Linked DNA regions of Mus musculus. The protein of the gene in region 7 binds, or shares a complex with, the protein of the main gene of each other region. Links are inferred from orthologs where the notes say so. Each region holds a gene or a part of one and is shown on either strand. Other genes may lie near its edges.

Evidence for each region.
Region 1: Plrg1 (region 7) and Cwc22 share a complex: the UniProt entries of both Homo sapiens proteins name them as parts of the minor spliceosome. The link is inferred for Mus musculus from reciprocal best matches to the Homo sapiens genes PLRG1 and CWC22.
Region 2: Plrg1 (region 7) and Crnkl1 share a complex: the UniProt entries of both Homo sapiens proteins name them as parts of the minor spliceosome. The link is inferred for Mus musculus from reciprocal best matches to the Homo sapiens genes PLRG1 and CRNKL1.
Region 3: Plrg1 (region 7) and Sf3b5 share a complex: the UniProt entries of both Homo sapiens proteins name them as parts of the minor spliceosome. The link is inferred for Mus musculus from reciprocal best matches to the Homo sapiens genes PLRG1 and SF3B5.
Region 4: Plrg1 (region 7) and Armc7 share a complex: the UniProt entries of both Homo sapiens proteins name them as parts of the minor spliceosome. The link is inferred for Mus musculus from reciprocal best matches to the Homo sapiens genes PLRG1 and ARMC7.
Region 5: Plrg1 (region 7) and Bcas2 share a complex: the UniProt entries of both Homo sapiens proteins name them as parts of the PRP19-CDC5L splicing complex. The link is inferred for Mus musculus from reciprocal best matches to the Homo sapiens genes PLRG1 and BCAS2.
Region 6: Plrg1 (region 7) and Ctnnbl1 share a complex: the UniProt entries of both Homo sapiens proteins name them as parts of the PRP19-CDC5L splicing complex. The link is inferred for Mus musculus from reciprocal best matches to the Homo sapiens genes PLRG1 and CTNNBL1.

The regions. Positions count from the first base shown.
Region 1 is NC_000068.7:77,915,357-77,918,856, reverse strand, and holds part of Cwc22 (pre-mRNA-splicing factor CWC22 homolog), read left to right. Parts: intron 1-1,693; coding exon 1,694-1,801; intron 1,802-3,278; coding exon 3,279-3,360; intron 3,361-3,500. UniProt on the Homo sapiens protein: Required for pre-mRNA splicing as component of the spliceosome. As a component of the minor spliceosome, involved in the splicing of U12-type introns in pre-mRNAs. Promotes exon-junction complex (EJC) assembly.
Region 2 is NC_000068.7:145,917,701-145,921,200, forward strand, and holds part of Crnkl1 (crooked neck-like protein 1), read right to left. Parts: intron 2,999-3,500; coding exon 2,897-2,998; intron 2,289-2,896; coding exon 2,040-2,288; intron 901-2,039; coding exon 724-900; 3' UTR 1-723. UniProt on the Homo sapiens protein: Involved in pre-mRNA splicing process. As a component of the minor spliceosome, involved in the splicing of U12-type introns in pre-mRNAs.
Region 3 is NC_000076.6:13,007,006-13,009,683, reverse strand, and holds Sf3b5 (splicing factor 3B subunit 5), read right to left. Parts: upstream 1,235-2,678; 5' UTR 1,062-1,234; coding exon 801-1,061; 3' UTR 501-800; downstream 1-500. UniProt on the Homo sapiens protein: Component of the 17S U2 SnRNP complex of the spliceosome, a large ribonucleoprotein complex that removes introns from transcribed pre-mRNAs.
Region 4 is NC_000077.6:115,474,415-115,478,466, reverse strand, and holds the start of Armc7 (armadillo repeat-containing protein 7), read right to left. Parts: upstream 2,801-4,052; 5' UTR 2,531-2,800; coding exon 2,440-2,530; intron 2,346-2,439; coding exon 2,202-2,345; intron 1-2,201. UniProt on the Homo sapiens protein: As a component of the minor spliceosome, involved in the splicing of U12-type introns in pre-mRNAs.
Region 5 is NC_000069.6:103,177,159-103,179,663, reverse strand, and holds the end of Bcas2 (pre-mRNA-splicing factor SPF27), read right to left. Parts: intron 2,326-2,505; coding exon 2,245-2,325; intron 1,310-2,244; coding exon 1,183-1,309; 3' UTR 501-1,182; downstream 1-500. UniProt on the Homo sapiens protein: Required for pre-mRNA splicing as component of the activated spliceosome. Component of the PRP19-CDC5L complex that forms an integral part of the spliceosome and is required for activating pre-mRNA splicing.
Region 6 is NC_000068.7:157,817,401-157,820,900, reverse strand, and holds part of Ctnnbl1 (beta-catenin-like protein 1), read right to left. Parts: intron 3,147-3,500; coding exon 3,074-3,146; intron 2,851-3,073; coding exon 2,792-2,850; intron 1,448-2,791; coding exon 1,299-1,447; intron 1-1,298. UniProt on the Homo sapiens protein: Component of the PRP19-CDC5L complex that forms an integral part of the spliceosome and is required for activating pre-mRNA splicing.
Region 7 is NC_000069.6:83,069,038-83,072,537, reverse strand, and holds the end of Plrg1 (pleiotropic regulator 1), read right to left. Parts: coding exon 3,474-3,500; intron 2,846-3,473; coding exon 2,737-2,845; intron 1,942-2,736; coding exon 1,802-1,941; intron 1,349-1,801; coding exon 1,155-1,348; intron 428-1,154; coding exon 368-427; 3' UTR 247-367; downstream 1-246. UniProt on the Homo sapiens protein: Involved in pre-mRNA splicing as component of the spliceosome. Component of the PRP19-CDC5L complex that forms an integral part of the spliceosome and is required for activating pre-mRNA splicing.

The DNA.
Region 1 (3,500 bases), on a different chromosome or scaffold from region 7:
TTCAAATAAAAGTGAAAGGTTGCCACTTTATCTTAAGCTCAGGCAGTTACCCCAGCCTTGTCCTGTAGGGAGCCATACACTGGCCATCGTTCTGTAATATAAGTGCTACATTGTCATCCAAGTACAAGATGTAATAAAATTTCTATTTTACATCTTCATCTAGAGCATTCATAATTTAAATGGGCTTTTTTTCTTCTGCAAGTGTGGCAGAAAGCAGCATTGATTCCTGGTCCATTTTGGTGTCTTGATTTGTGCTTAGATTGCAGTAATTTTAACCCCATTGCTCTTGCCTGTTATTGTAAATAGCAATTCAGTGAGAGGGCAGCTGATACCTTAGAATGATTAGGAACATAGTGTTGACCTCACAGGCCGTCTGACAGGTTTTAGGCTCCCCTAGGGAATCATAGACTTTTTCTGAAACTCTGTTTTAAGTCTGATGAAATCTAGTTGCCAGTGCCTACCGAATTTTGGGAAGTTGATTTTTAAAGGAGCGAGAAAAGAGGCTGCTGTAACCTATCAGACAGTTCATTTGACCTTCATCTTTAGTAAAATGTTCCCCTGGAACTGGCATAAAAAATGACCCCAGCAGGAAGTGAGCACAGCTTTGGTAATTAGCACCTCTGAGTGACCCAGGTGTACTGGTGGCTTGGGTTTGCCAGCATTTGGGAAAACAGCAGGAGTGCCTGCCTTCCTACTTTTGAATACTAAATAGTTCCTTCTTTTCAAAGTCTGTGCTCATTGCATAATCAGCTAGACACTGGAGTGTTTCTTGGAGTTGCATTTGCAAGAAATGGTTTTAAGATTTGTCAGATAAGGGCTAAGTATAAATAGCAGCTCTGTAGTCTTAATAAATGATTGTTCCTGCAGCATGATATTCTCCGCTAACATTAAGTATATGACTTCCTGATTTACACTGCTCTGCAAAATATAAAGAAATTAGAAGTTTCTAAAAGTGAGTTAAAACTTTGTACTAAAACTTGAGTGATTATAATAAATGAGAAAATGCCATGCTGGTGGGCACTGACAGCAACACTGCAAGATAGAATTGTGGCCGACTTTGGCATTACACTTTTGATGTGGTTGATGCTCTTTGTCATCTTTCATGGGCCTTCATTTAGATCTAAATAAACACTTTATTTAGGAAATAATAAAGATGGCTTTACCAGTTTTATGATGTTTAAACTTGTTTTAGTTTTACATATGAAAAGACTTTTGATTGACTGTAATATACAATTTAAAAGTTCTGTTTAAATTTATAATTTTCATTCTACTTATTTTAAGTGAACACAGATACTGGTTCCCCTCCCGTATCGCTCTGTCCACTCTTAACTCTGCATTCTGCTGGCTTTAGCTTTCATCATAGACTGCCCTCTTTCTGAAGATAGCATTTAAACTTTGAAATGCTAGCTGTGAGCTCCAGTTTTTTCCTGGTGCTCTTACCCACTCAGAAACATCATGTGCCTCTTCTGTCCTCTTGCGTTCCCTTGTTTCCATGAGCACGTTTCACCTAGCAAAGAATGACACAACTTGTTAACATCAGATCATTCTAATTGTTTCCTTGCCATAGCCTGAGGCTTGTGTGATTATGGTTGCTAGTAGGTAAACAGTTAAAATTAGATTCACTCCTCAGGATGGGGTACATGTATCTAGTTCATTAATTATTGTTTCTTCTTATATTGACTTTGATTTGTAGAAATCCTTGACGAAGGAGACAGTGATTCAAACACAGACCAAGGAGCTGGAAGTAGTGAAGATGAGGAGGAGGAAGACGAGGAGGAGGAAGGAGAAGACGAGGAAGGAGGTAAAGTATGGCTTTGTAAACACTCTGGGATGAGGTGAGTTCTGAGGCACCACTCTAGAGTGGCTCTCTCTGCTCACCGAGGAAGGATTGTGAAGGATGCCCTGGGGTGTTGTGGGAGAAGACAAGGGACACTTTTCAGCACCTTCTCTGACAGAACACTGCACACCAGCAGGACACCAGTCCCTAAAGTATTAAACAAGGACGTTCAGTTTTTCCTAACAACATAATTTTAATGTGACATTTTAGACCTTCAGTTCTAAGGGTACATTCATGTAGAGGCTGTGTGATTTATGTAACCTTGGCAAGTGTGTGACAGATGTGAATGACTAGATACTTGCTGTTCATTTTGGCAAAATAAAGCAGGGAGGCCAACAACTACATCTGTACAGAAACAGATTCACGTTCTTCCTCTTCGGCTCTGATTACATCACTCCACAGAACAACAAGCTCAGCCTTTACTTTGGTTGAGTATCATAAAATAGTAGCAACATAAGCCAGGATACACACACACATACATACATATGTGTGTGTGTATAATATTTTTATATATCTATATAGTATGTTTTACAGTTAAATTGTTGCTCTTTAACTTTTTTGTTTTTTAAGATTTTGTTTATTTTATGTATATGAATACACTGTAGCTGTCTTCAGACACACCAGAAGAGGGCATCACATCCCATTACAGATGGTTGTGAATCACCATGTAGTTTCTGGGAATTGAACTCAGGACCTCTGGAAGATCAGTTAGTGCTCTTAACCACTGAGCCATCTCTCAAGCCCCCGTTCTGTGACATTTTATGAAAACAAAAACAACAAAAAATAGATTGTATTTCTCCATTTTTTCCTTTGAAGCCTGTCATCTTTAATAAGTCACCTAAATTTCTATATATTACATTTCCCTTTAGAATTTCTTGTTTAAAATACTAATAATTAAGTATAAAAAAAGTTTCCTCATATCAATTAACAGATTTTGACACATATACACATTGGACAGAGCCAACCTGGCAGAACCCATTGTTCTGTTAAACTGAATTTCAGCCCATCCAGGTCATCTACTTAATCAACATTGTTTATGAATCTAGAAATAATATCCTATGAAGCATCAGCATCAGAAAACCCCTTCTATGGTGTCTAAATGAGTTTGCAATAGAGAGGCAAACATAAAATAAAACAATAAAATGATAAATACTCATGTAAATATAAGTTTTGTAATTTTATTCTAAACCAAGGCTTAGGACTCCTGGGGTTCTTTGTTCTGTGTCCTAGTAGATTGCATCCTGTGTTGATGGCATAATTATTACAAACATAATTATTTTGGTGGTGTTGTGGACTCTGATCCAACAAAATGATAAGGCAGAAGATGTACAGTGACTCCATTAATCCTACAGATACCGTTTTACAAACAACATTGTAATTATTGAATTTGATTATAGAATAAACTTGTATTTTTATAATTGTTATGTTTAATTTATTTCAGGGCAAAAAGTAACTATTCATGACAAAACAGAAATCAACCTAGTCTCGTTTCGCCGTACAATCTATCTTGCCATTCAGTCAAGGTAAGAGTCCGTAGCTCAGTGGATAAGAGATGGGTAAGCAAGATCAGTGATCGCACTAAGAGTCTGAATACAGACTTAAACATCGTTTCAGCATTTGCACAGTGCTTGCTTCACCCTGTCCTGTACCCAAGCTCAGAGGC
Region 2 (3,500 bases), on a different chromosome or scaffold from region 7:
TTTCTAAACAAGCTACTACAAAACTTAACTAGTTTGAGAGAAAAACTGAAGCCAAACTAAAATGTTCCTGACAAAGACTTGGGGTCAAAAAATACAGTCACTATAAATCTGTTCAGATATTCAGAGAGAAAACTAGCCCAAGTCCATTTAATTCTATGAGAAGTAGACACATGATGCTAAAAGGCAGTAGGGGCAGGGGAAGGTGTGCTGTTGGAACAAGATTGACATCAGCATACTCCTTTTCTAATGGAATCATCAAAATGAGGTGCCACCATACTACTGCTTGTTTGAGAAAACTGAAAATCAATGGAAACGTACAGCCACCACATGGAGGTGTTAGAGTTGGACTCCAGTTTTGTGGTTTTAGAGACATGAAATCTAAAAGTTTCAGATTCATGAACACCATCATGATAAACCTGTGTCTATTCCTGGAGAATGGACCTTGAACACTGAGTTTAGTCTGCAGTTCGACCCAACGTATGTGCTAAGCACATGAACTCCATCTAACAAAGACAATAGGAGCAAATGCTAGAAATGCTCGGACTCAAGTAACAAAACTTAGAAAAAAATTCTTTTACTTGCAGTTTCTCACCCATAGTTAAACCCAAGAGCATTTTAAAAAATAATTCAAAGATGCCAAACAACTCCTTACTGAGTAAATACATAAAAACATTTAGGAGTCAAAGTTCTAAACTGTTCATTTATAAAAAGCAATTATAACATTTAAAAAGATGAGGATTCACTCTCATCAATGTCCTTATCTGGATCCTGTTCGGCAGCTTCTCTTTCCTGTTGCTGTTTCTTCCACAGCTTGGCCATGGCCAGGAGCTTGAGGTTAGGCTGGTTGGCAGCATCCTCTGGGAAGATGTAGTCATAGTATTCTTCCCACCCGGCGTCAGACTGCAGAAATAAGTACATGAGGTCAAAGGTGAGCAGACAGAAGCTGGAGCCTGCTTCATTCAGAAGGCAGAAGAATGAAGACTGTGTCTGGGGAACCTAGAGTCTCAATTCAACCATGGTGCTGTGGAAAGTAACATCAGATCCTGCCGTAGATGGAACAAAGGGCTGAGCCTAAAGGAGTGACTGAGCCACCGGGCAGATGAGGTTACTGCAGCACTACACTGGCTCAATGAGAATGAAGGACCAAGTGGGAGGAAGCTAAACATCTAAGCACAGCGGCTCCACGGGCAGTGCCTCCACTGCCTAAGACACTCAGTGCCTCCACAAACCTTGCAGTCGTACATTTACAATGTAAAAACGTGTGTTTGAGGGGCTAGAGGGGTGGCTCAGCGCTGAGAGCACCTGTTGCTCTTACAGAGGACTCAGGTTAGGTTTCTGGCACCTGCATGGTGGCTCCCAACCACCCAGTAGCTTCACTTCTAAGGGGTCCAATATCACTTTCTGATCTCCAAGGACACCAGGAATGCATGTGGTACACATATACCCATGCATGCAAAGCATTCAAAATAATTTTTTTTAATTTGAGTTTTTACTTAATATTTAGTAGCAGAGGCCACATAGTGTGTAGTATTTGGACTCCTAGCTCTTCTCAGTTCCAACTGAGCATGGCTATTATTTCTAAATATTATCTTAAAATGGAGGCTTTCCTCATCTCCTACTTTCCACCCCTCAGGTCCAGGCTTTTAAAAACATGCACTAGATCATCTTCAAGCCAAGTCTCTCAAGTCCACCCTTATGAGATGCTAGCATTCTAGACATGTGTAAAGGTCTTCAATGATTCCCACCAAACTTGCTCTACCCTACAAAGCCTCAGGATTGGTTTCCCTCTATAAGGTGAAGCTCCCCCACCCCACCCCCATTCAACAAACAGCAGCTTCATATAGTTCCTAGACTCCACCTTCACTCAGAAGGCTCTGCCCCTGCCCTGTCCTAGTAGCTGGACTACAAGGGGCTCCTTATCCAGGTTGCCTGCATCTGCTTTGAAAAATTCCAATAGTACTCCAAAGCACAGATTGCAAAGTCAGATGCATTTCTACTCCTTTGACATGGGGGGAACAACCCCGGTACTGGGCCCTTACCCCATCGTCGGCCTGGACCTTTCTTCTCTTCTTGACCTTTTCTGGCATGAGTTTGTCTACTCTCTCCTTGTCTGATACTGTGCCAAATTCATCTTCAAAACTTCTCCAGGATTCCAGCAACATAAGCCTCTCTTCTTTTTCTTCACAGTTTCTCATGGTTTTGTTAGCTTCTTCATAAATCTGTCTGCATTTAGCCACACTTCCTTCTTTCCCAGACGATAACTCAAACTGAGCAAAACTGATCCATACCTTACCAAAAAAAAAAAAAAAAACAGAACAAAATTAACCATGTCAGTCACCCAGAAGAAACAAACAGAGAACATAAAGTTAGTTTCTCCAGATCATGATGTATCTACTGATAATGAATCACAGATTGATACATTGAGCATACGCCTCAGTGTCAGTGGAGAAGCAGTCTTCTGCTTTTAGATGTTAGATGTAGTTTTTTTTTTTTTTTTAAGATTTACTTATTTATTTTATGCATATGAGCACACTATAAGCTGTCTTCAGACACACCAGAAGAGGGCATCAGATCTCATTACAGATGGCTGTGAACCACCATGTGGTTCCTGGGAATTGAACTCAGGACCGTTGGAAGAGCAGTCAGTGCTCTTAACCACTGAGCCATCTCTCCAGCCCCAACATAGTTTTAAAGTTATAGAAAAAACTTCTTTAACTCTGTGATGCCCAAGAGATGCATGGCAACATAAACAATGATCTGGCAGGTCTAAGCTTAGTATTTGTAAGTCCTCTGGGAACAACAGACTCTAAGAACAAAGTCATTTAAAATAGTTTGTCTACAAACATCAAAACTGCTGTACAAACAAAATGAGAGACTATTTAAAAAGTAAGGATACCTTGACATGCTGTGTTCGCTGAAGCAATTGTCGGTAAAGGTTTCGTGTTCTTTCAGTTTCTTCCTGCTCAATCTCAAAATCAATATATGATTTCCAAAGTACCTAAGAAAAATAATGAATCAATCTTAGCATTAAGAAAGCCACATGCCCCTGTAGTTCAGCCATCCTGATCTATAACCAGGAATAAAGACTTTCACTTAACAATTAGATTGCATGTGGATAGATGGTAATACTAGCATTTAGAAGCTTGCCAAAATGTAAGTAGAATTTTACACAGGAAAAATGGCTTTGGATTCAGGTTTATATTTTCTTTTTAAATGCTTAATATAACCAAGACTTGTCAAGAATTCCAGGTACTTTCATTGATGCTGCCCATGTAGCTAACTTTTAGGAAGAAGATTGGCCAGATTAGCCACTGTGCGTTCTTACCCCATACCAAATTGGTATTAAGCTAAAAGCATTAAAGATTTATTTAATGTATACAAGTACTCTATCTGCAGGTACACCTAGATGCCAGAAGAGGGCATCATATCACATGGATGTTTGCATGCAACCATGTGGTTGTTGGGAATTGAACTCAGGACCCCTGGAAGATCAGCTAAGC
Region 3 (2,678 bases), on a different chromosome or scaffold from region 7:
TCTTGATTCCTTAAAATCTGTTCTCAAATGACATCTCAGTAAAGTAGCATTGTAAGCATGGTTTTTAAAGTTGTAAACTCTTCAAGCTGGCATAATGTATGCCCTCAAACCTTTGGAAAATGCTCTGGTGAAAAGGGAAGAGGGGTGGGGGGAATGGGGCGCTGAGCAGGATGGGGACGTGATACCACTTGTTTGCCAGTTTATCATTTCTGAAGACACAAAGGGTAATCATCAAGAAAAAGGGGTAAGGGGTAGCGCATAAAGGGAAGGGTAGGAAAGGGATATGGGCAATCTCCGCGCTTCAAGGTTTCTTTGGGACCAGACACACTGTACGCGTGAAGACTATTGAGGTGGGATAATATCATAAAAGTGTGTGTGACGACTTAAGGACTTGCCCTGTGCTTCTGCCCCCATTTCCTATTTATACTCTCACAAAACCTTGATCCACAGAACCCTCTCCTAATAACCTCCCAAAGAACACAGCAATCCATACCAAAGAATAGAGCAAACCCTAAACTTTATATATATATGGTTTTTTAAAAAGGCAAGAAGACATCAACTATCGAAAAGCAGACTCGAAATGCGCATCACTCTCGTGCAGTCTTCTCCCTCGCTTGCCGATGCTGGGATCACTCCTTCTGCACAGTTCACAAGGAGCGGACCCGGACAGTCTCTCCATGACTTGTTCCGAATCCTCCACAGGTACGCAGGTCAGGCGACACAGCCAACACGGAATGGTCGAGATGCAGGAGCAAGGAGGCTCGCAGCCGGCACACGGGGAAGACTGGGCAGCGCTCACCTCAGTTCTCCTCGGGCTTGTCCGCGGGCGGCCCGCTGGGCTGCAGCATTTTCTCCATCAGGTTGAACCGCACGCGGGCTTTGCTCTCGTTCTCGGCAATGGCGAAGTAGTTGAGGAGGTCGAAGTGGCCCATGTAGGAGCAGTAGGAGTCGCGGTGCTGGTTCACCAGCCATTCCCACTTGGTGGTGTCGGCGTGGCCCGTGCCGATGTACTTGGACTGCAGATGCTCCAGCTGGCTGTGGATGGTGTACCGGTCCGTCATCGCGCCGCTCTGCTCGTAGGCTCCGAGGTCAGGACACAGACGAGAAGCTGCCGCTCGCGGCGTTCAAGTGAGAGACGCTGCCGCTGCCGGTGCCGCCGCCGCCACGCAAAACCTCAGTTCGTGCAGGCGCGGGAGAAAGACGCCACCGAGACGCAGGAGTAGACAGTCTTTTCCTAGGCGGAAGCGGAAGTGCCGTCTGTCGCGGGATTGGAGTTGCCTAGGAAACACTGGGCCGTCTCCTCACGGAGCCCGCCTACTTCGAAGAGTGTTGCATGATGGTCCGCTTAGTGGCTCTCGGGTGATCACGTTCTAGTCTGAGCGTTGCATTCTGGAACAAGTAGTCCAAAGAGTTTGTTTTAGGGTTTTGTTTTGTTTGTTTTGTTTTTGCCTGGCTGCTGTAGGACGATGGCAAACGGCCTCTGAGAGTTATCCCACGGCTCTGGGCTACTAAGAAGGGGAAATCCAAGAGGGTTTCAACTACAAGCAACCAGGAAAATTAACTCTTGTACCTAGAAGCTAACGTGGCAGCATGGTTCCCCCGCGGTCCCAGCTTTGTCTCTTAGAATTTGGGCACTGGGAAAAGTATTTTTGGTGATCAGTGTCAGCCCCAGTAGTCTCACTAATGGCTCCCACAACGAGCTCCAGGCTCCCGTTTCTCAACCCATTGAGGGGTTGTTTGCTCTAGGTCACTCAAAAGCTATTCCTTGAAGTCAGATGTGGTTCAAGACTAGATAGATAGATAGATAGATAGATAGATAGATAGATAGATAGATAGATAGATAGATAGATAGATAGATAGATAGATAGAAAGAACACCTCTCTTTCTAGTCACCTGTGTTTTTCTGCTGATTACTGCCTTACGTTGGGGGTTGTGCACTTTCTCACGTTACAAACAACTCAGAAAAGATAATTGTACTTCTTTTATGGTATCCCTTAAGGATACATGTATAGCCTGATGTAGATTGTACTCTCAAAAAACCATTTTAGGAATGGGGTAAGAGCAGTCACAGCCAAAGAGAATGGACAATGACAGACAATTTGAAAATACAGGAGTTTGGGGGTACTTTTGTTTACTTGGTGGGGGGAGGATCTGGCCCTGAGCTCACAGCAATCCTCCTGCCTTTGCCTCCTGAATGCTGGGATTAGAGGTGAGTTCCGCTCCATCCAATATTAATTCTTCTGTTTAAATTTTGTCATAATAAGCATCATGCCAGGTGGTGGTGGCACACACCTTTAATTCCACCACTTGGGAGGCAGAGGCAGGCAGATCTCTGAGTTCAGGGGCAGCCTGGTCTACAGAGCTAGTTTCAGGACAGCCAGGGCTACAAGGAGAAACTCTGTCTCAAAAAAAAATAAAACCAACCAACACCAAGACTTAGACAACATAATACACATCTTATTCCTAAAATATAGAGACTATACGGCAATACCTGTGGATATGCCATCCAGCCATACTATACCTGTCTCTTATTATTTATTTATTGAGACAGGGACTCAAATTCTCTGCACCTGCTTCAGACTTTGAAGTGATCTATCAGAGGCTTAGTCACCTTGTCAGGCTTCATTTTAACCCTTTAATTGTTTACTGTTTCACTGTCGTTTCTTTTGGTTTGCAGG
Region 4 (4,052 bases), on a different chromosome or scaffold from region 7:
TTAAAATATCCCTAACACATCGGCCTCCCTCTAACACATCAGCCTCCCTCTAACACATCAGCTTCCCTCTAACACATCAGCTTCCCCTCTAACACATCAGCTTCCCTCTAACACATCAGCTTCCCCTCTAACACATCGGCCTCCCTCTAACACATCAGCTTCCCTCTAACACATCAGCTTCCCCTCTAACACATCAGCTTCCCTCTAACACATCAGCTTCCCCTCTAACACATCGGCCTCCCTCTAACACATCGGCCTCCCTCTAACACTTCAGCTTCCCCTCTAACACATCAGCCTCCCTCTAACACATCAGCCTCCCTCTAACACATCAGCTTCCCCTCTAACACATCAGCCTCCCCTCTAACACATCGGCCTCCCTCTAACACATCGGCCTCCCTCTAACACATCGGCCTCCCTCTAACACATCAGCTTCCCCTCTAACACATCAGCTTCCCCTCTAACACATCGGCCTCCCTCTAACACATCAGCCTCCCTCTAACACATCAGCTTCCCTCTAACACATCAGCTTCCCCTCTAACACATCGGCCTCCCTCTAACACATCAGCTTCCCCTCTAACACATCAGCTTCCCTCTAACACATCGGCCTCCCTCTAACACATCGGCCTCCCTCTAACACATCAGCTTCCCCTCTAACACATCAGCTTCCCTCTAACACATCGGCTTCCCTCTAACACATCGGCCTCCCTCTAACACATCGGCCTCCCTCTAACACATCAGCTTCCCCTCTAACACATCAGCTTCCCTCTAACACATCGGCCTCCCTCTAACACATCAGCTTCCCTCTAACACATCAGCTTCCCTCTAACAGCTTCCTGCTTAGCTGCTTTGTCTACATCGCATATCCAAGATGGCTGAAATGGAAGTAGCGTAAGTAGCGTGACACACCTCCTATGGCTCCATCTGAGTTCCTGTTTATCTCTACTTTGCTTGTTTTATTCGCCACCTAGCTCCCCTTCCAGAATACAATCCCCAACCTGTTCACCATCTCCTCAGAACCTGGGCCAGTACCTTCCTTATAGGGTGCCCAATAATGACTATCTATCATGGGGCAGAGGAGATGGCTTAGTAGGTAAAAGAGCTTGCCACACAATTCTGATGACCTGAATTCGGTTCCAGGGACCTACATAAGAAAACCAGATGCAGTGTCGAGCATCTGGAACCCCAGCACTCTCTCCCCATTAGCTGGAGGCTCACGGCCCAGCTATGGAGTGCACTGCCCTACTCTGAAGGCACAGAGATCTTCCCTTAGCAACTGGAAGAGGAGAACACAACAACAACGACTACCTTAGTTTTTAGAGACGACATCTTACCACATAGCCCTAGATGGTCCAGAACTCAGTACTCACGCTAGGCTGGCCTGGAACTCGGAAAGATCTACCTACCTCTGTCTTCCCAGTACTGGGGATGAAAGGCATGTACCACTGTACTCGGGGAGAACTGACTCTTGACAAATTTCATGCATACAGCCTGGTGCACATGCATACTCACACTCATCCACACACACATGCAAACACACACCTACACAGCAAATGTAAAAGAGTCTACCTTGAATAATTCAAACGGCCTTACAATAACCCAACTATAGGAGTTCTAAGCTACCTTTGCACCTCTTGACAGTAAACAATACAAGGGCAAGCTCCAGCCGGGCAGTGGTGGCGCACACCTTTAATCCCAGCATTTGGGAGGCAGAGAGGCAGGCAGATTTCTGAGTTCAAGGCCAGCCTGGTCTACAGAGTGAGTTCCAGAATAGCCAGGGCTACACAGAGAAATCCTGTCTCAAAAAAATCAAAATCAAGCAAACAAACAAACAAAAAACTAAACTTCTTTCAAAGAGGTTTCACCCCATTTCCTCACTTATTATCTCTTTTCTAAGAGGAAGAAAGACACGACTTGTTTGGAATGAGCTGTGACCCCGATAATGTGTGGAGGAGGAGAAGGTAGGTGGTCCACACACGGCAGCTCTGCCCTAGATGAGATCCCATCCCAAACACTAGTTTGTTTAGTGACAGTGTCTTACTCTGAATCCCAGGCTGGCCCCCAAGTCGCAACCATCCTCCTGCTTCAGCCTCCCGTAATGCTAGTTTTATAGGCGAGTGGCATGCCTGACTCTCAAGTCGCTCTAGTCTATAACTTGGGGGGAGGCGCGCGGGCACGGGGGTTGGGGGCAGCCTAACTCTTACCAATAGCAAACTTGATTAGGGTTTCATTCTCTTCCGACAGAGAATCAAGGAATAAGTCCAGGACTTGTAGTTGCCGTAGGTACTGGTAGTTGCCCGGGTCATAAGCGAAGTTGGCGAGGTTGGCGAGGACTTGCTCCTTGGCATCTGCAATGGGAAGCAGCCCTGGGGTCGGACCTGTGCGGCGGCGGCTGCCGTCAGAACCCTCCTGGGTCCCTCGTGCCCACGCTACACCTCTTACCTTGGCTCTCGGTTTCCTGGAACTCTGTGACCAGCGCCTGCAAGTAGCCTAGCCGCCCGACGTGGGGGTCTATCTTGGGTTTCTGTGCCATGGCTGGGGCGGCGGAGTTGGGAGCTCCGGTAGAGGCCACAAGGCCTGGATCCTGACCTGTCCCGGCGGCGACAGAGCGGCAGCAAACCCAGTCTTGTCCTGAGATCCGCGTCTGCAGCTGGGGATGAGCTGTGGGGGTGGCCAGGGGTCTCAGGATCCTGTCTGAGCCGGATCTGAAAACCAAAATTCAACCCGGGCGAGACGCTGTGGCTTTTCGGAACTGAAGGCAGGCACGCCCCCTTACCACACTCCCTGCACCGCTTCCTGGTTCAGGGCGGAAGTCTCTCTAGCCCCGCCCCAGGAAACGGAGTGAGCGGGACCAGGACGGGATTGGGCGTGGTTACTGGGCGCCTCCTGGGCTTCCCTCCGGATTTCTAGAGCTGGAGGCTTTAACCCTCCACTGCGCAGCCGCCGCAGCGGGGATGCGTCGAAGGAGAGAGGAAGGGAGAGGGGAGGGAAAGAGGAGAAAAGGAGAGAGAGAATGGTGGATGGATTGACAGCCGGGCAGACGGATCTTCAGGCCATCTAGACATGATAGTAGTTTAATCCCAGAACACGGAGTTTAAGGACGGTTTAGTCTACAAGGCAATCCAGAGCTACATGGCAAGACCCTGGTAACAAAACAGAACATCCATCAAACCCCAAACACAATCTTAGGGTCACAAGGAGCGTCAGGGAGGGGCCCAGCTTTGCCGTGCTGTGGTGGAGGTGGAGGATGGAGGCAGTAAGGGTTTTTAGGGCAAGGGTCAGGGGTCATGTACTATGTTTGGTACCAGGGACCTGAATCACAGCAGAATGGTTTGTGTACTTCACCTTTCCCTGGCCCCCACCTCTGGGGTTTAAGTTCCAGTGATCAATCCATGCCCAACATCAACCAAGAGCAAGAGTTTTAGTCTTAGTTTGGATGCTTGAGAACCAAGGTTGCTCCGTGAGAACTCTGTGCCCTTTAGGTTTTATAAGAAGCAGGCTAGGCAGACTTCTTACATCTCAGCTCAAGATGGCCAAGCGTCTGACTAGTCAGAACATCAAAGACCTGGGGACCTGGAGCCTTTGAGATTCCAGAACAAATACTTTGCAGACTCCCCTCAAAATTTTCCAGGGATGGTCCAAAGCAGATCCTGGCTACAAAAGAGTAGACTTTGCTTCCATCTTGTCTCCAAGCCCCAGGCTCCAAAGAACTGGGATTACAGCACACCTGGGCATGGGTGGGGCTGGAGATGGAAGTGAAGGTTTGATGTACGTGACTAAACTACATTTGCACCCTCATTTCTTCGTTGCTTATTGCCCTCAGATTAATGCCATTATTACCAACGGGCAAGTGTGATGAAAATTTCCTAGCTGGAGGATCACAGATTCTATTTTTCCTGGACGTGGGCCTGTTAGCCAGCCCCAACTCTGTTTTCTGTTAGAATGAAAAATAGGTCCCTGGCATTTGCCCTTCAGAGTAGAAACTTCCTTGGGGGGTGGGGGTGGGGTCAAGCTCAGTTCTGAGTTGCGATCCGGAAAGCAGTAGGGGACATTAG
Region 5 (2,505 bases), about 20 Mb from region 7:
CCTTCATGGCCTCCAAGGAGTAAGAAGGCCCGAACCAGCCCAGCCGTCCCAGCAGGGCAGAGAGGAAGACAGAGGCCTCTGCTGCTGGAGTCCCTGTCCCAACTCAGCCCAGCCCCCAACACTGAGCATCTCCCACTACAGCTGGCTTTTGCTACTTTGTGGGTTCTTCTTTCTCCCACCTTTTATCCTTCTGGCCTTCACCGCTATCACTAGTTAGGAAAGAAGGAAAGGTGAGTGAGAAAGAGCGTGCGAGAGACTTGAATCTAATTTTTCTTCTTGCTTCTTCTTTGAACACGACTACTCACAAACCACAACCAACACTGCCTCTTGGGGCCTTAGACTTTATATCCCTGTGAAAAGTTTCCATTATCCCAAATGTCACCCAATTGCAGAAACTACCTGCAGCTGGCAAACCATGCCTCTACTAGAGCACGAGGCACATCAGTTGCTTCAAAGCAGCCCCATATACCCACACCTGGGATTAAAATGAAAACATATTCTTTTTTTTTTTAAGATTTATTTATTTATTATATGTAAGTACACTGTAGCTGTCTTCAGACACTCCAGAAGAGGGAATCAGATCTCATTACGGGTGGTTGTGAGCCACTATGTGGTTGCTGGGATTTGAACTCCGGACCTTCGGAAGAGCAGTCGGGTGCTCTTACCCGCTGAGCCATCTCACCAGCCCAAAACATATTCTTATATTTCTGCATTTTTAAAAAAGAATCCAAAATTCCACAATTCTCACTACACCTATTTCTATCATAGATCCCTAGAAGGGAGCCTCATTCTTTTGAATACCATCAATAAAGTTCACTATAGCCACACATAAAAATGCTTAGAACTGTAACTTTATTCAACAAAAAACACAAATTCAAGGTTTCCAGCTTCCAGAACATGTTGGATGCCTTAAAAATAAAGGAGCTTCATTACAAAATTTGAAGCCTTAAAAAAAAAATTCTGCTACAAAATATGTCAAAATTATTCTAAAGTCATACTCATTCTGAAAACCAGGTTTTTATAGCATAAAAACAGCAACATGTTGACAACTTTATTTTGCTAAGACACTCACACAGAAGCAATACAACAGTTTACATAGTCCATGGTCTCTAACCATGTAACCACCACAGTCGCTCCGAGAAAGTCCCCGCTGAGTCTGCGGAGCCCACGTCGCCTGAGTCATTAGAAGTCTTGGCGGATGTTTTCCTTGTTGGCCTCCCCGTGCTGCTGCTTGATCTGATAGATCTCGTTCTCCAGCTGGACAATCGTCCGCTCAATCTCATAGTTCTTACTCACCAGCGACACCCAGCTAGGAAAGAGAGTCAAAGGAAAAAGAGAGAAGAGGGAAAAATGAGCGGATGTAAAATTTCTTGCACAGTTTATTTTAAACATATGTAGTTTCACTATGGGCACTAACATTTTTAACTTTCCATTAAAAAACAACGTTATGGGAAAGCAGGGGAAGGGTACACAGGGGCTCTCTGCATTACTTAAGTTACCCAACAATCGTCTCATGATAGTTACCTTAAGAAATAAGCAGAAACAAGAGACTCAGGGAGACAGAAGAGACAGGAAAACAGCATAAGATTAAAAGAACACAGGCAGAGGTTTACACGATGGACAAAATTCTGGAATTGACAAAACAAACTACCACTACCACCAAACCCCATAGCCTTAGCCACTATTTCCTGTAACTAAATCTCCAGGACAAATGTAAAGAGCACTAGCGTGGAGAGAGCTGTGAAAGGAGCCGGCATGGCATCTCAAGATGGAGAGCATGGTGAGAAGATGCTGTGGGCAACGGAGAGACCGGGAAGACAGAAATCCGTAAGCAAGCATCACCACACTATGCATTTAACCTTTTTCTTTAAAGAGACGGTGTTACTCTGTAGCCAAGGCTAGACTTAAAGTCACAATCTTTCTTCCTTAGTTCCAACATGTGAGGACTAAGGCATTTATGGGCACACACAGCCCATACAGTTAGGGATTTCTATAAATCTGTGTGTGCAGAAGGCTATGCATTAACAGGGGCAAACAAACTAAGGCACAAATTAGGCAAAGTCTACAAGATTGCCGTCCTGGAGCTGGGGCTGTGATGCCAGCACTGAGCAGTAAGTCAGCCCTTTCTGCGGTCAGTTACTCTGTATGCCTCCCCTTCCTCAGCACACAGCAGACATGTGAATGGCCCTTCTGTGACTCCCACGGCAGTCCATGCACACATGAAACACGGAGTCACACACTCACTTTGACTCCATTTCTCTCAGCTTAGATCCAGCTGTAAGCTGCATGTTCTTTCGCTGCCAGTTCAAATCTTGAATATGTTTCCTGTAAAAAGTTATTTACAACAAAAATCAACAGAACAATAGTACAATAGAGTATCTTTATACTCTTTAGTGCTCACAAACACAACTACAGCTAATTCTAGGAATTAACTTTATCTTAATTGTTTTTAATTACAAATTTCATAAAATTTATTCATTGTGGGAGGGAGGAAACAAACAAACC
Region 6 (3,500 bases), on a different chromosome or scaffold from region 7:
AAATCAAACAAACAAGTAACTCCCACCAAAATAATAATAAATGATGATATAATAATAGTAGTACTGACAATAAAACCAAGAAGACTCTATCTGCCCAAAGGTGGGCTACTCTTGGGTGACAGACTGGGGCATTTTAGCTTCTGGGAGGACTCGGCCTTGTTGGCAAGACACTTAACAAACACAGTAACTAAAAATATCCTAATAGAAAACAGAATGAGGGGGCTGGTGAGATGGCTCAGTGGGTAAGAGCACCCGACTGCTCTTCCGAAGGTCAGGAGTTCAAATCCCAGCAACCACATGGTGGCTCACAACCATCCGATCACGAGATCTGACTCCCTCTTCTGGAGTGTCTGAAGACAACTACATAGTGTACTTACATATAATAAATAAATAAATCTTTAAAAAAAAAAAAAAAAAAAAAAAAAAAAAAAAAAAAAAGAAAACAGAATGAACACCCACAGTCTAAATTATGCTTAATAAGTATACGTCCAATTTGTAAGGCACTTTCAGAGACATCTTTGTTCAGTTGTCACTGCATGTGACTAGAGGTTTTACGATGTTTGACCCCGGCTCAACTCCACGAATTCCATGATTAGAAAATTCCTAATGTGTTTGCAAGCAGCACCCAGAGCCTCTCAATTTCAAATGCTGTCCCTTAGTGGTACTCCATTCTGGTCACCTCCTCAGGAACTCTCTTTTCCTTCCCAGCCACATTTCTCAATAAAACACCCAAACAAGCCACTTCTCCACTTTATTTCCAACTTTAAGATTCTTTGGACTAACTGAGAAGCTGAAGCAGTGTTGTCTTTAGAGAGTAGAGCAGAACAAAAAAGATACATTAAAGGAAGTATAAGCCCACAGTTGTAGAAGCATCTTTCATATTTCATATTCCCTGTGCTTAGGCACACGGCACACACAGAATTCATTACTGAATGAATAAATATGAATATTTTGCTGTCAACGGCAGGAATATAGACAGAGAGATCTATGGAGCATACAGATTTTGAGACGAACAAGCCCAAAAGGTAATGCTTAGCTTTCTCCAAAACCAACACAATAAAAGAAACAAGGACATGATCCTCAGGGCAGTGGCTGCGTCACCAACTGACACCCGGCACACAAACGAGGCACAGCTTTATGTGCCAGCCCACCCTTCAGGAAAGCTCAGACACATCCCTAAATGAACACTGTCTGGATGAATGGGAAACTCAAGGGACTGAAGGACCACAGCTACGCATCCTAAAGTCAGGCTAGCAGTGCCGGGCAGACAGACAGGCACAGTGAGGACTGGGGCAAACCTGAGCATGAGGTTCATGAGCTGCAGCCCCTCGCCCTTCAGGAAGCGCTCTCGATTGGAGCTGAGCATTAAGCAGGAACAGAGCGCATCGAACAGGTTCTCCATCATTTCCTGCTCCTCAGCGGTGCTGGGGTTGTGTCTTTTAAATACCTGCCAAGGAGAGTAGAACGGAGCCATTAAAAAATGCGCACCCTACAGTTTCCAAAGCCCACCAAGGAAAGTGAACTCTACTAATGAAGCTCTCGCCAGTTTCCAGCTTAGAGAAACTGAGCTTTCTAGGTGTGGGCACTAAATAAAGATATACAAGTTCACATAAAAACACTGAGCCAAGCACTGGGCCGAGATTGACTGACAGCGTCAAGGCAGCAAGTCAGCCAAACAAAACAGCACACCTCAGGCCTTGGCCTCTGTGAAAATCAGAAAGAGACAAGGCCATACTGGACACACACAGTGAAACTGAGAGGGAACACGTCTGAAACCACAGCTCAGCTCCAAAACCAACTCTGGCAGAAAGCCCTACAGCCTTGTCCCTGCTCCGTCCAGCCCCACTTCACCCCCTTTCTACGGTACCCACAACCCAGAGTAGCCGATCCTATCTTAGGTGAAGAGGTGCTTCTTCACAGCGCGGCTGCTGCATTCCCCTCACTCAATAGCAGGGGCTCCGAGGCCCAGGCATGCATCTGGGCAGCTGTGCATGTCAGCGCTGAGCACGGGTTGGGAGAGCCCCTGAGCCAGCTGGGCAGGTGGCCCCATAGGGGCTGCAATCAGTGACTGCACAGCACTTCATGGGAACCGCAAACAGCTTCCCACCACAAAGCTCTATTTTTAGGGTGGAGGCCAAGTCACTCAGCGGCTGGCACGGCAGGAAAGCTGTATGCAAACTGCCGTCTCAGACACTCAACACTCTTCAGCCTGTATCCAAATGATCTATTTTCAGTGCTGTTTTGGAGTAACACAGATAAGGTTTTTGAGGAGGAACCCTGATGGCACTTCCAGACTGCCAGCAGGTAACATTTCAACTGGATTTACATTGCTTTCAACCAGCAAAAGGCACGTTCCACCTTCCCACTCCCGCCTGCAGTGCCACAACCATCCCTACTGTCCCGACCACCACGACCCTCGTGCCATGGAGCTGGAAACTGCTCTCCTTGCGCTCCCCTGGAACCTCAGTGAGCAGACAGACTCTTCTAGGGAAGGACCAAAGGGGAAGGAGCTGAACCGTGCTGGGTGCTAGAAAGGAACACAACTGGCTCATCCTGGCTGGGGACAGAGGAGAGCTCCCTACTTCTCCCTACTTTTGGATCAGCAGTTGGGAAGGGCTGTGCCAGTTTCACCATGACACTCGATCAGAAAGGGCCAGTGAGTAAGAAAAAAAGGTAAGCCCTGTGCTCCAGTGTGACCTCCAACCTGCCCTTGGTCCCCATGTGGCTGCCCCTTCCCATATTTCTACTTCTACCTCCCACTGAGAGCAGGCCCACAGGAACAGGTACTCACGGATAACTGCTGAAGAAGCACGTCAATGCCATCCAGCTCTCCCAGCAATTCCCTGTTTTCTAAAAGAAGGAAAATAAAGGGAGAAAAAAAAAAAGAAGCCAACTGTCAGATTTTACAGCCGTCTACCACTGATCCGTCAGCTAACAAAATCAATACAGCTTGACAGAGTACAAAAGCTGCACGGAGAGCAAGCAGAGAGCCCAGGCGATGCCAAAGGCAAGTTCACCGGATCTGAGACTGAGTGTGGCTCCCAGCCTGGCCTGTCTCTGTGAGGGCACTCACCGTCATTGTCCTGGAGGAGGATGGCCAGCACTTCACTACAGTACAGCTTGTTGGCATCGAAGGGCATCTTGGCCTGTGGGAAACAGAAACGAGAGAGCCATTAAGGAATCTTGCTCCCTTTCCAGGGCAAACTGTTTACCCACCAGATACGAGGAGGTTAAAGGAAAGGCAGGTTAGGGGGACCAGATACATGTTCTCAATGCTAAATAACAAAGGGACAGAGTAGCCCTACCCAGTGTGTGAATGTACCCTCCTCCACAGAGCATACCTTGTGCCCATATTTTAAGTCTAGAGACTGTGTATCCCCAAGGCAAGTAAGAGAAAGTTTTGAGCTTATAAGATTAAAACATATGAAACTCCAATTTACAAGTTACAACCAGAAAATGAGGCTGTAAATTAGCTGATACATGATCAGAGAAGTTGAAAA
Region 7 (3,500 bases):
TCAGGGATCTGACAACTTCTTCTGGCCTTCATCGGCACCAGACACACATGTTGTACACAAATGTACATGCAGGCAAAACACACCTATACATGTAAAATAAAAACCAAAACTAAAACAAACAAACAAACAAAAAAAACCCAGTCAAAATAGTGTTAGGAACAACAATCCTCAACATGCCTGAATTCTTTATATTTACCGTTTACTTCTAAAACTATAAACTGTTTATTTCAGAAATAAAACACAGGTGAGGGACATGGGAGCAGTTTATTGTAAAATACAAAGCAGCAATGTTTTCTGCAAGTGAGCTTTCATGAAAGACCGGATATCCTCATCAACACCAAGCACGAACAGGACAGCCATGAAGACACTAAAATCGCTTTCTCTTGATAATTTCTGGTTTCCAGCTGACTGGGTGAGTTTCTTCTGTCTAAAATCAGAACAGTAAACAAAGTGTGATTTTATTAGTTTGTTTCCTTTCAATGAAAAGATCTGTCTCTGCTAAATCATAGTACTTGCTTGGCAGGACGTGCTGAGTGGCTCTTGAAAAATTTTAGAAACAGCTGACAAACTTCTGGCATTATCCAAGTTTGACCAGGGATACATGGGTTCGGTTGGATTTCCATTTAGCTATTACAGCAACCCCAGCGCTCTACCTCTACCCTCCTTCCCTCAGCAGTCTCCTGTTTGCCACGATTAATGTATCATTTCCTTCCCAGGAACTGTACTGAGGCAGAACTGTACTTAAAACGTAATGCTTTATCACTGATGTGTCTGCATCAATGAAACCACACAGAAGCCCTGAGCAGGTCAGATCACTATCCAGAGGATGAAACTGATGGTACTATAGTGAGTCTGTTTCTTTTTGTACTCAAATGAGCAGTCCTTGTCAAATTGACATGCAATTCTTTTACTTTAAAATGCATGTGAAAGCTGGGTGTGCTGGCTCATGCCCAAAATCCCAGCATCGGAGAAGCAGAGGCAGGAAGACAGTTTCAAGTTTAAAATCAACTTGAGCTACAAAGTGAGTTCCAGGCCAGCCAGAGGTACCATGTGATACCTTGTCTCTAAATATAAAATATAAAATTAAATTAAACTAAAAAGGAAGGAAGATAGGAAGACAGACAGACAGACAGAGATGGACACTAAGAACTTACCGCAGTCTCATCCTCTCTGTAAACTTTAATGGTTTTATCAGCTTCAGCCGTTAGTAACCGACTTTCTGACCGATCGAAAGCACAAGCAAATATTCCTGACTCACTGTCCAAAGACCCAGGCTGTACAGCTGCATGGACGCGCTGAAAATTATAGCCAGTTCTCCAGTCCCAAAGGTGCATGGTGCCATTGTCAGCTGCAAGGGAAACACACAGCTCTACTTCTATCCCCTCAACAGCTCAGATGACCCAGGAGCTGAACATTACACCAGCAACACACACACACACACACACACACACACACACACACACACACACTCACACACACACACTATCTCTTTCCCTCCCTCCCTCCCTCTCTCTCTAATTCCCTCTAAGTCTCTAATTTATAGACACCATAACATTTAAAATCCAACCAAACATCAGGCAGTTCCTAGCGTAAATCCCTACCTTCATCACATGGGAATGCAAAGATGTCTAAACTATGCAACATGCTGCATGGAACACCACTGAGCACGACGGCAGGCACATTACAAACAGGCACATACACCCTAGTAGGTGTGTCACTACAACAGTGTGATGCTTTAGATACTAACTCACTCACATCAACAGAAGGGCACACTCAACACACCATAGAAACCTTGTGTTACCTCCAGACACAAGCACTCCATCAGCATTGACCGCCAGCGTGTTAATGATTGCATTGTGACCAGAGAGATTTTGAATGAAGCCTCCATCGGGGAATTTCCACTGCTTTATGTTATCTGGAGAACCAGACGCAAATGTGTAACTAGAACAAAGATTGACAGGAATTAATGGGAAAGTACACTGTATCAAAGAAAACTCGCAGCTTTGAAAAAGCTCTGTGTGCTCACTGCTCCAGACAGCCTCAGTAAAATGTAACTTCACCACAGTACAAACTCATCACTATCCTCGCTCCAAGTTCCACCAGCCTTGTCCAGCTGCTGAGATGTACTACTTTAGATCCCAGAGCAGTGTTTTGTTTTCTTTAGTGTGTTACACACTAATTAGCCCAACAAATGTGCACACACACAGGGCAAAAAAAATCTTGAAAGGGAAGGAAAGAGAGGGATGACAAGAGAAAAGGAAGGAAAGGAAGGGAAGGGGACAAGAAAGGGAAGGCGCAGGGAGCAGTGGGGGAGGGTTGGGGGATGTGTGTGGGATGAGCTGAGTCAGGAGTGGCCTGCCTTCTCTGGGAACCGCAGTGCTGATGTCTCTCCCTCCATTTCCTGCACACTTACTTCTCCCTTAGGAATCTAACTCTGCTCTGTCTCTGACAGGACACCATATGTGAAACAATCTGGACAGGTCAAAGTGGGTCCAGTACCCTGTATGTCCAGACACGACTCCCGCCTACTCTGACATTCAGCTTTAACCACAACTTGGCCTTATTTGTCACTCTGTAGAGGGGCTATGGCCTTCATTCCACAGAGCACGAGGCAACAGCAGCAGATGGGAACTGAAAGGCCGTCCTAAGCAGCACAGGCAGAGGTACAGCAGGCCCCCCTGGCCTCAGCGTCACTGAGACGCGGAGAAAGGCAAGCTATCAGCACAGCACACTTACAGTAGCGGATGTAAGACCACAGCCCTCACTGATTTCTTATGGTTCGTCAGTGTCACTCGTGTCTTTCCAGCCACTAGATCCCATAATCGTATTGTGGTATCGTGACTTCCTGTAGTGAAAAGACAGAGACCGGACAGAATCCACAAGTTAAAACCCATTAAACACAATGTACTTGTCTGTGTGTGTGTGTATGTGTGTGTGTGTGTGTGTGTACACTAAATGAAAGTCCTATCACTGTGAATCATTTCCTCAAAATCCTAAAACTGTAGTTATTCTATATTTAGTTCTTTTTAACTTTTTGCCAGAGGCGGTAGAGAGTGGCTAAGTATAAAGAGCAAATAAAAACAAATATGTAATTTTAAACTCCAATGGCAGGGAAGGGGAAAAAATGAATCTTTTTATTTTAAAATCTGTAGTTAGCAAAACAAACCAACTGAAAGAATGACTTTCCAGTCACAGTTAAGATCCAATGTCATTCAAGTAAGATTCATACTAGAATGATAGGTTACAATGCCTAACCTTTTTATGTAATGATACATAAAAAACACAAGATAAAAATATAAACAAACAAACAAAAAACCCTAGAAAACACCTTGCAATCCTAAATTTCAAATGCCCATGATTAAAATCCAAAGAGAAACTAGAACGCGAGTCGGTCGGAGGTGGAGGTGCTTGCGGCGGCTGCAGAATGGCCGGCCGTGCCTCTGGTACGGCTCAGGGGGAGCAGCAGATCGTACCTGTAATGATCTGTGGCTCTGCAGCCT